Sus scrofa: one gene and its partner. The protein of the gene in region 2 interacts with the protein of the main gene of each other region in a biochemical or structural test. Links are inferred from orthologs where the notes say so. Each region holds a gene or a part of one and is shown on either strand. Other genes may lie near its edges.

Region 1 (4,232 bases), on a different chromosome or scaffold from region 2:
GGTCTAATCGGAGCTGTAGCTGCTGGCCCACACCAGAGCCACAGCAACAAGGGATCCGAGCCTCGTCTGTGACCTACACCACAGCTCACAGCAACGCCGGATCCTTAACCCACTGGGCAAGGTCAGGGAGGGAACCTACAACCTCATGGTTCCTAGTCGGATTCATTAACCACTGAGCCATAATGGGGACTCCCCATCTAGTTGTTTTTGATATGATTCTTGTGAGGACTTCCTATCTTGATTTATACAGTGGATTTTACATCTATTTCTTGTATCTAATGCAATGAAAAGAGAAGAGACATTTTTCAAATAATATAACTTTTCCTAAACCCTGACTCACTTCAGAAAGTTGGTGAACTGTTCAGACGCTGCACAGTGATTTTTACATACAAAGACAATTGGTTCATCTGCAGCATTTTCCAGTGTGGGATAAAACATTTACATTTTTTATTTCTGGCAATACTTCATTTGACCTATGAGCAAAACTAAAGATTGACTACATACGAATTACGGTAGATTTCCTGCTGAAAGCAGTGAGGAACATAACTTTATCAGCAGATTGGGGAACAGTCTCACTCTCTCAGTACAGTCAATGACGCAACTTATTTAAGAGGACATGCCCATTATTTTCACGTTCTACTTTAGTCTGGTAAAATCACAATTCCAAGTTTCACTGAATGTTTTGAAATTGAAACGTCAGGATTACGCATCAATAAGTGAACTACAATGGTGTAGGACAACTAGTAACATTAACTTAAAAATACGGATTTTTCCTACGAGATTATAATTATTATTTGGCTTGTTTTTTAAACTAAACTGAGTTTGATTTCTACTGACTAGATCTTCCGGAGTCAATATTTTAATGCTCCCCTGACACACACGCTCGGTTTAGGAGGGTTATGAACTGCATTGCTTCGTAATTTTCCCATGGAAGCACAGGCGAGTTAAACCATGTGGAGTTCACTCAGTACTACTGAAGACCTGAAACCGGTGGTGCCAAAATGCTGATGCCTGCCGGCGGAAAGGTATTTGCCCTTAAAACAAGAAACAAACGACAACAAAAACAAAAACCCACTTAGCTCCAAAATAACAATAACAAGCACCCTTTCTTTCTTGCCAGAATTCACCCGACGGTTGCAGCCCAAAGGAAGCGGAGCTGAGGCAGCGGCCAGGACGCGACTAGAGGCAGCAAGAGCTCCTCCCCAGCCCGGACTCTCACAGCCGCTTCCTAAGCGCTGCGTGGCTCCCTAGAGCCTGCCGGCGAGAGGGTTACGCTGCCTGCCGCACCCGGTCGGCTCCTCACGGCTGCCAGCCTACCCCGCCCGCCCGCGAAGCCCGGGGTGCGCCACGCCTTCCGTCCGGCCCCGCCCAACCCAGCCCCGCCCGGCCCTGCGGAGGCGCCGGAGTGCGCGCGCGCGCGCGCGCGCGAGGCAGGCCCGGTTCCCCTTCCGAACGTCCGCGCCCCGCATGCGCAGTCTACGCCGGCGGTCTCCGTTTGTTTGAACAGGAAGGCGGACATATTAGTCCCTCACGGCCCCCATCGCCCCACCCCCCAAAGCGTTCGCCGTCGCGACTCGCCCTTTCCCCAGCCGGGGCCGCAGCACCTCCCAGGAGCTCCCCCAGCAGCAGCCGCCGGGACCCGACTCTCATCTCCTTTACCGGCCGCTCTCCAGCCTGTCCTCTCCTAAGTCTCCATCGGGCACCGACCTCGCCCTGCCCCGCCGGACGCCACAGCAGCAGCCCCAGCAGCGCCAGGACAAAATGGGAGAGTGAGGCTATCCCTCGGGGACCAGCTCTTGGCCGGCGCGGGTCGGTGCGTCGGGCCGGGCCAAGTGGTGCCGGGGATGCAGGGCTAGACCGCCTCCAGCGCCTCAGAACGGAGCGGGCCCGGCCGGGGGCCCAGGCGGCGGCGGCGGCGGCAGCTGGCACGGCTCCGCACCCGCCCTTCGCTTTCGCCTTTCCTCCTCTCCCTCCCCTGCTGCCCGGAGGAGTCTCCACCCTGCTTCTCTTTCTCTACCCCCTCCTGCCCATCTCGGGACCGGGAACTCTCCATGGCCAAGGCGGCCGGGGCCCGCTAGGCTGAAGCATTTGCCTGGAGCGACAAGTCTGGTGGCGACGGCGCTGTCGGCTGTCGTGAGGGGCTGCCGGGTGGGATGCTACTTTGGGCATCCGAGCGGCTGTGGGTCGCCGTCGCCCCCGGCCCGGGGTCTGGAGAGCGGAGATCCCCTTAGTGAGGGGGAGGAGGGGGACCGCGCGCACCTGGTGACCCTGGAGTTCCGGCTCCTCCGCCCGGCGGCCGCGAACCCACCGCCGGAGGAAGTTGGCTGAAATTGCTTTCCGCTGCTTGTGCTGGTACGAGGGTATTGTCACAGTAGCAGCAACATGTCGACTGGGGACAGTTTTGAGACTCGGTTTGAAAAAATCGACAACTTGCTGCGGGATCCCAAATCGGAAGTGAATTCAGATTGTTTGCTGGTGAGTAGCCCAGTTCTCTTTTGCTTGTCTGAGGTTCTCTGTTTATTTCCTTCCTCTTGCTTTCAGTCTGGTTATCGGCAAAAGAAAAATTCAGGTGTGGAAAACACCAAAATCTGGTGGTGTTTGTGAAGAATATTGGAGTACCACTAAAATCTCGTGCTGTGGCCCTGTTTATCATTGTACTAACTACTCTCTCAACTTGTAGTTCTGACTCAGTTCATCATTACACAAAAGACACTTAATAAACTTGCAGGCATCATAGTTACCCCGTCCAGCTTATTACTATGTGTATAGTTTGTTGATTGGCGATTTTAGTAATATTAATCTTTCTGATCGGTTTGACAGTAAGATTGGAAAAGACTGTTTTCCATTTTCAGCGATTTACCTCCTTAAGGGTTTAATTTTTAGACTTGTGACAATATAGAATCTATATTGAGGAAGTGATTTTTGAGCCAAAGTGTCATAGGTGATTTGAGTCTGAGAGAACTTTTTTGCTGGACTACTAAGTGTAAAAATCCAAGATAACTGATGATAGGTCATCACATTAAAGTCTTTTACAATATTGTTGATTACAGAAGTCCTGCACAGATATTTTATCATAACTGCCCTTTTTTTGGTAGTGTTGTACCTGTTAACATTATGTCTTTTGAAACATTCTAAAGAAGTTTTTATGATATGAAAGGCCAAAACACGATTTTAAAAATTCTTCAGTGGTTTATAGCATGAACAATTAATTGTAGATAATTGGAATTCTTAAGTTTTGTCAATTTCCCCTAATAGTAATAGTTGGAAACCATCTGTAAGGAAGTTTTTCTTTTTATTTTACTGAACAACTAAAAGTTATATAATAGTTCTATTGGTCCATGCACAACCATATAATCTCTAAGGTTGCAAAGAGTATGTATATGAATAGTGATTTACAACCTTCTCAGGGATAGGTGTTAGATGTACACAATATTTGGGATTAGAATTAAGTGAACTAAATAATTCCACTCCAGAGAAATAATATTTTAAAATCTCATCTTGAATCAGGGAAATGATGTAGATCATTTAAAATTAACATACATTTCAGTTACTCCCAAATACCTGTGTATGTTTTCTAATGTGTATGGTTCTACATGAAAGTTTCTCCCCACAGCTTTTTAAATTACTCTGAGCATCCTTGACTGAAATAAACTGTGGGCTTTATGTTTGAAATGTCTCACCCACGTTGTGCATGCTCTTCATATTGAGAAACAAAAAGGAGGGTTAATGCTTAATACAATTGAGAACATTTTATCGAATGAGAGAAGTGGAAGAATTTAGGACATGTCTTTCTAAGAAGAATCTCTGTAACTCTTAAGATGTCTAATTCTTCATTTAATATTTGTCCAGTTTCCTTGTATCTGTGATTTTACATTGCTTTTTGATCTCCTTATTCCATTACAAGGAGGGTTTAGTAGATTTTTTTGTTGTTGTTTGGTGGGGTTTGTTTTTAGTTGTCTTCTAGCCTATTGCCATAGCTTCATTTGTTGGGAACGTCACAAGTTTATTGAAATGTGGAGGATACAAGGAAATATAAGTCATGGAGTCTTTCCTTAAAAGTACCAATCTGTTTAGAAAAACAAGTCCTAATCTTATACACATACACAAAAACAAAGCTAACACTTCACAGAGGAAATATGTGATAAATTTCAAATATTTGGTATAGGTAATATACATTCTTGTATATTGAAAGGAAGAACTCTCTGTGAGTTGAGAGCCAGAGTATGCTATAT
Region 2 (4,267 bases):
AAGACAGATGAGTCCTGTGGCTTTTGGGCACTCATGTTCTCACTTCCAACCATAAGTTTACTTAGCTGTGAATGAGTAGGCATTTTCTTATCTAGGGGAAGGCCTACAAAGAATTTCTTTATCAGGTTAGTCCTGATCTATCACTAGTTGAGTAAAAAAAATCAACAACAAATCCATTTTTCCCCCTGGGTCTCAGTTTCTTTACATATAAAATAAGGAGAGTTATATTATCTCAAGTCTCCCCCAGCTCTAGCATCTGTTAAAATTTCTAAGAGGTAATACTTGGCACAACCCAATGCCTTAGACATCACAGGTACTCAGTAAATATTTGATTTCTTTGTTGTTGATTCTCCAGTTACAAGGGAATCTGAGTTGTCTTGGAACACAGCTTAGATAGGGCAGGTAAAAGTTGAAGCCCCACTTCCTTCTCTGACTCCATGGGAAACCTCATTCTGGTGTCTGTGATACAGAGATGAAGCACCAAATGTGAATCTGGAAAATATGACCTCTGACCACCACCATTTATTTGGCTATGGAACCCTGAACAAGTAATTGCTGAACCTTAGTCTCCTCATCCATAAAAAAGCCATACTTGGCTTCCTTTCAGCTCTTCAAAGGCACCATATGCCTTCCTACTCAGGGTCTCTTTATGCTATTCTCTCTACTTGGGAAGTTCTTTGTCTTTTCTTAGCTGGACTAGCTTCTACTTATCCTCAAGGGTCAGTATAAACTTGATTTTTTTTTCTTTGGCCGTACCTGCAGTATGTGGAAGTTCCTCGGCAAGTGATCCAAGTCCTGCAGTGACAATGCCGGATCCTTAACCTGCTGCACTATAAGAAAATTCCTAAACTTGCTTTTTTAACACAATTATTCCCTATCCTCTTACCTCTGGTGCAATCGTACAGCATTTATTTCAATTGCTTATCTCAGTTACTATGGCATTTATCTCAATTGTTACCTCAATTATTTACTGTTCATCTCTAGGACTGTAAGCATCCCAAAGGCAAAGATTATATCGATTTTGTTCATCACCATACTCCTCAGTGTTTGACCAAGTACATGGTACAGAAGCATCCAACAAATATTCTCACAGAAGAATGTACAGGCTGGAGTTCCCATTGTGGCTCAGTGGTAACAAACCTGACTAGTATCCAGGAGGATGCGGGTTTGATCCCTGGTCCCACTCAGTGGGTTAAGGATCTGGCATTCTATGGCTGTGGCATAGGCTGGCAGCTGCGGCTCCAATTCAACCCCTAGGCTGGGAACTCCCACATGCTTCAGGTGTGGCCCTAAAAAAAAAAAGAATGTACAGACTAATGCATCTACAAACAGTAATGCCTCTAGACAGCTTTATGAATCACTCAGAGAAAAACTAATAAACACTACTGCACTCTAAGATCTTTCACAAGTTTCTGAGATTCAAGGTTCAGAACAGGAAACCTATGCTACAGAGGTTAGGAAAAAACCAATGGAGATCACTTGAGCTAAAGAACTCTGGAAGCTAAAAAACAAAAACAAAAACAGAAAAACAAAGAGGAAGGGACAGGGAGTATTCCTACCCCTAGCCCTCCTTCTCCAGAAGCCTATTATCAAGAATGAGGAGAAAATCCCATACTCCCATGGTGAGGAAGTGACCCACTGGTGGCCTGGTCCTTGTATTCAGGATGGAGGAAGTGACTGTCCACAGGCTGAAAGCCAGGAAGCGGGGGCAGATTTCCAGGACAGCCTCCCTCCTCCACTATTCCCTCCTGCCAGCTCTAGAAAGCTTCTGGACGCTGACCCTGGTCGACCTAAAGGCTAGGCCACCCACACAGGTGGCTGGGAAACAGAAAGTCCCTGGTGCAGGGAGACAGGCCAGGAGGGCAGGAAGCTGCAGGGTGGTGTGAGTGACTGGGAGGGGACCGCAGGCACAGCCAACCTAACACTGAAGCTACCCTTCACCCTCATAAGCTCTTCTTTCCAGGAGGTGTTTGGCCACATTCCTCTCCTGTGTCAGAGGGACCAAGAGGGCCCGAGCCCCTGGGGAGCCTACCTTCCCCAGGAATAATGCTCCACTTTCTCTCTCCCCCCAGGTCGTGTCCCAAAACCCAAGGGAGCCCACACTGCCCTTTTCTCGCAGAGAACCCAAGACCCAGGGGGCCGCAGGCACCGAGACACCCGCCAGAAGCCTCGGATCCCGTGACGGGAGTCAAACTCCTCAATTTTCCACAGAAAATCCAGAACCCGAGGTATACGCTCCATCCTCTCAGAAGTGCTCCCAACTTTGAGGACCCCGTGCTCCTCACACTCCCCAAACCCTCTAGGGAATCCGGATCCTTCAGCTTCTTTAGAAAGAGTTTTGAAGACTTTCGGTCGCCAAGTCCACAAAAAAAGATGCCGCCAGCATCCCTTCCTCCCAGGGACCTCAACTCACGGGAAGTCGCCCAAGCCGCCCCGCCCTCCCTCCACAACTTCCCAGTCTTCGGGAAGCGCGGTGCTCACCACTCCCAAATTCTTCCTTTAAGGAGCCGGGGCCACCCCCGCCCCGGGTCCACTCAGCCCGAAACCCCCGAGGGGCCGCCAGCTCCCCTCAGGCGCCCCGGGCCCGGGACAGGACTGCTTGGCCCTTCCTTACCCGCCTGCGCCGCCATGGTCCCGGAGGCGCGGAAATGGGGAGGAGGCTGGGGCCACTGCAGCTCCGCTCAGCTGCCACCGCTGCCTCAGGCGCGGGAGGATCTCAGCCCCGGGCGCGAGGGATGCGCCGCCTACGGCGCCCGGGGAGGACCAAACCGCACCTGGCACCGGGGCCCCGCCCGCCGACGCCCCGCCCAACAGACGCAAGGCCCCGCCCCGGGACCCTGGCCCGCCCACCGGTCGGACTCTTTGGCGGCTCTGGTGCCCCCTAGCGCGAACGGCGTCCTCGGTTGGTGCCTGAGCTGACGAGGCTGCGCAGACGCTGCGCAGGGTGGAGATCTCAACACAGAGGACCCTCAGCCCATTTTACAGATGAGGACGGCTGAGGACCAGAGGGGACAAGTTTTGACTAGCTCAGAATGGCTTAGCTCATTGGGGGCTGGGCTGGGCTGGGAAGGCAGGCTCTTCACTCCCAGTCGAAAGCTCTCTCCAGTAGAGTATTTGGCATCAAAAATATGAACATGGTGAAACCAGGTTTACCCCACAAATACCTTTGGGGGGTTGGGGGTGGGCTTTTCTTAGAAGCTTCCAGCTCAGAGAAGCCACTTGTTTGTGCCACTAGGAGCAAGCTGACACTCAGCGGTCAAGTAGGTTATACAAATGAGCCCAGAACACCAGGTCTTCCAATTTTTCAAGACAAGTCAAAAATCCAGGTATTTAGGTGCAATTCCCCCCCCCTTTTTTTTTAATGTTGCTAACATTCAAATTCTAAAAATGCCATGTAGGTCAAAGGAAATATACCTGTGAACTGGATTTGCCCTTTGGACTATAAAGAAGAGAGCACTAGACTAGGCCTTGGGACAGCAGACTGGTCTCTGGCAGCTGTTAGCTGGCTGAGGGGCTTTGAGAACCACTTCCCTCACTGGGTTTGGGTGGGGACTGAGGTCCTCTGTGTGACGAAGGGTCTGTCATATCAGCTGGTCCCTCCCATCAGATTCTCCTGTGCTGGGTCTTTGGAAACTGCCATTTCTTTAGATCAGATTTAGGTCATGAGAAAAACATACAAATGACCAGGAAGGGACAGGGATGGGGCCTGAGGAAATGGATGACACTCCTACCAAGGACAAAATTCAACCAGCACTCGAGTAAGCAAAGGTGAGCATAATTCTCCCTTCCTGCCCTGATCCTGTAGTCCAAACTAGATGCAGGTCAGATTTTTCTCCTCTGGGTGTAGTAGGTAGCTCCTGAGGTCCTGAGTGTGAGGAAAGTGCTGAGGGGTGGTGGAGGTGATGTACCTGGCTTTCCTTAGGTCCTAGGAATCCTCTTCAGCAGTTGGCTTTAGTTTCTGAGGAAATTTCTGCTCTGACTACAGTAATGATGAGACTATGTATTGAATTAAAGTGACGGGGATCCAGAGGACTCTCCTGACAAGCCACCTCATGGCTAGCAAAAAGGAGCAGTATTTATTTGCCCTGCACATGGAAAGAGGTTATAGTGTATGTTCCCTACCTAAGCCCTTGGCAGCTTTGGAACCAAGACCCCTGGGAGTCTTCCTTCTTCCTCTGTCCCTCAGCAAAGCACCCAAATCTGTCTCTTCTCCCTCTTCACTCTGTCTTGTTCCATTGTTTTCACACCTCCAGCCTCACAGTCTTCA

Evidence for each region. The genes of interacting proteins can lie anywhere in the genome.
Region 1: of the proteins of LIMK2 (region 2) and ROCK1, one has a biochemical effect on the other in vitro, tested with the Homo sapiens proteins (2 studies listed by BioGRID). The link is inferred for Sus scrofa from reciprocal best matches to the Homo sapiens genes LIMK2 and ROCK1.

The regions. Positions count from the first base shown.
Region 1 is NC_010448.4:106,312,199-106,316,430, reverse strand, and holds the start of ROCK1 (rho-associated protein kinase 1), read left to right. Parts: upstream 1-1,432; 5' UTR 1,433-2,382; coding exon 2,383-2,475; intron 2,476-4,232. UniProt on the Homo sapiens protein: Protein kinase which is a key regulator of the actin cytoskeleton and cell polarity.
Region 2 is NC_010456.5:47,982,517-47,986,783, reverse strand, and holds the start of LIMK2 (LIM domain kinase 2), read right to left. Parts: upstream 2,801-4,267; 5' UTR 2,631-2,800; coding exon 2,615-2,630; intron 1-2,614. UniProt on the Homo sapiens protein: Serine/threonine-protein kinase that plays an essential role in the regulation of actin filament dynamics. Acts downstream of several Rho family GTPase signal transduction pathways.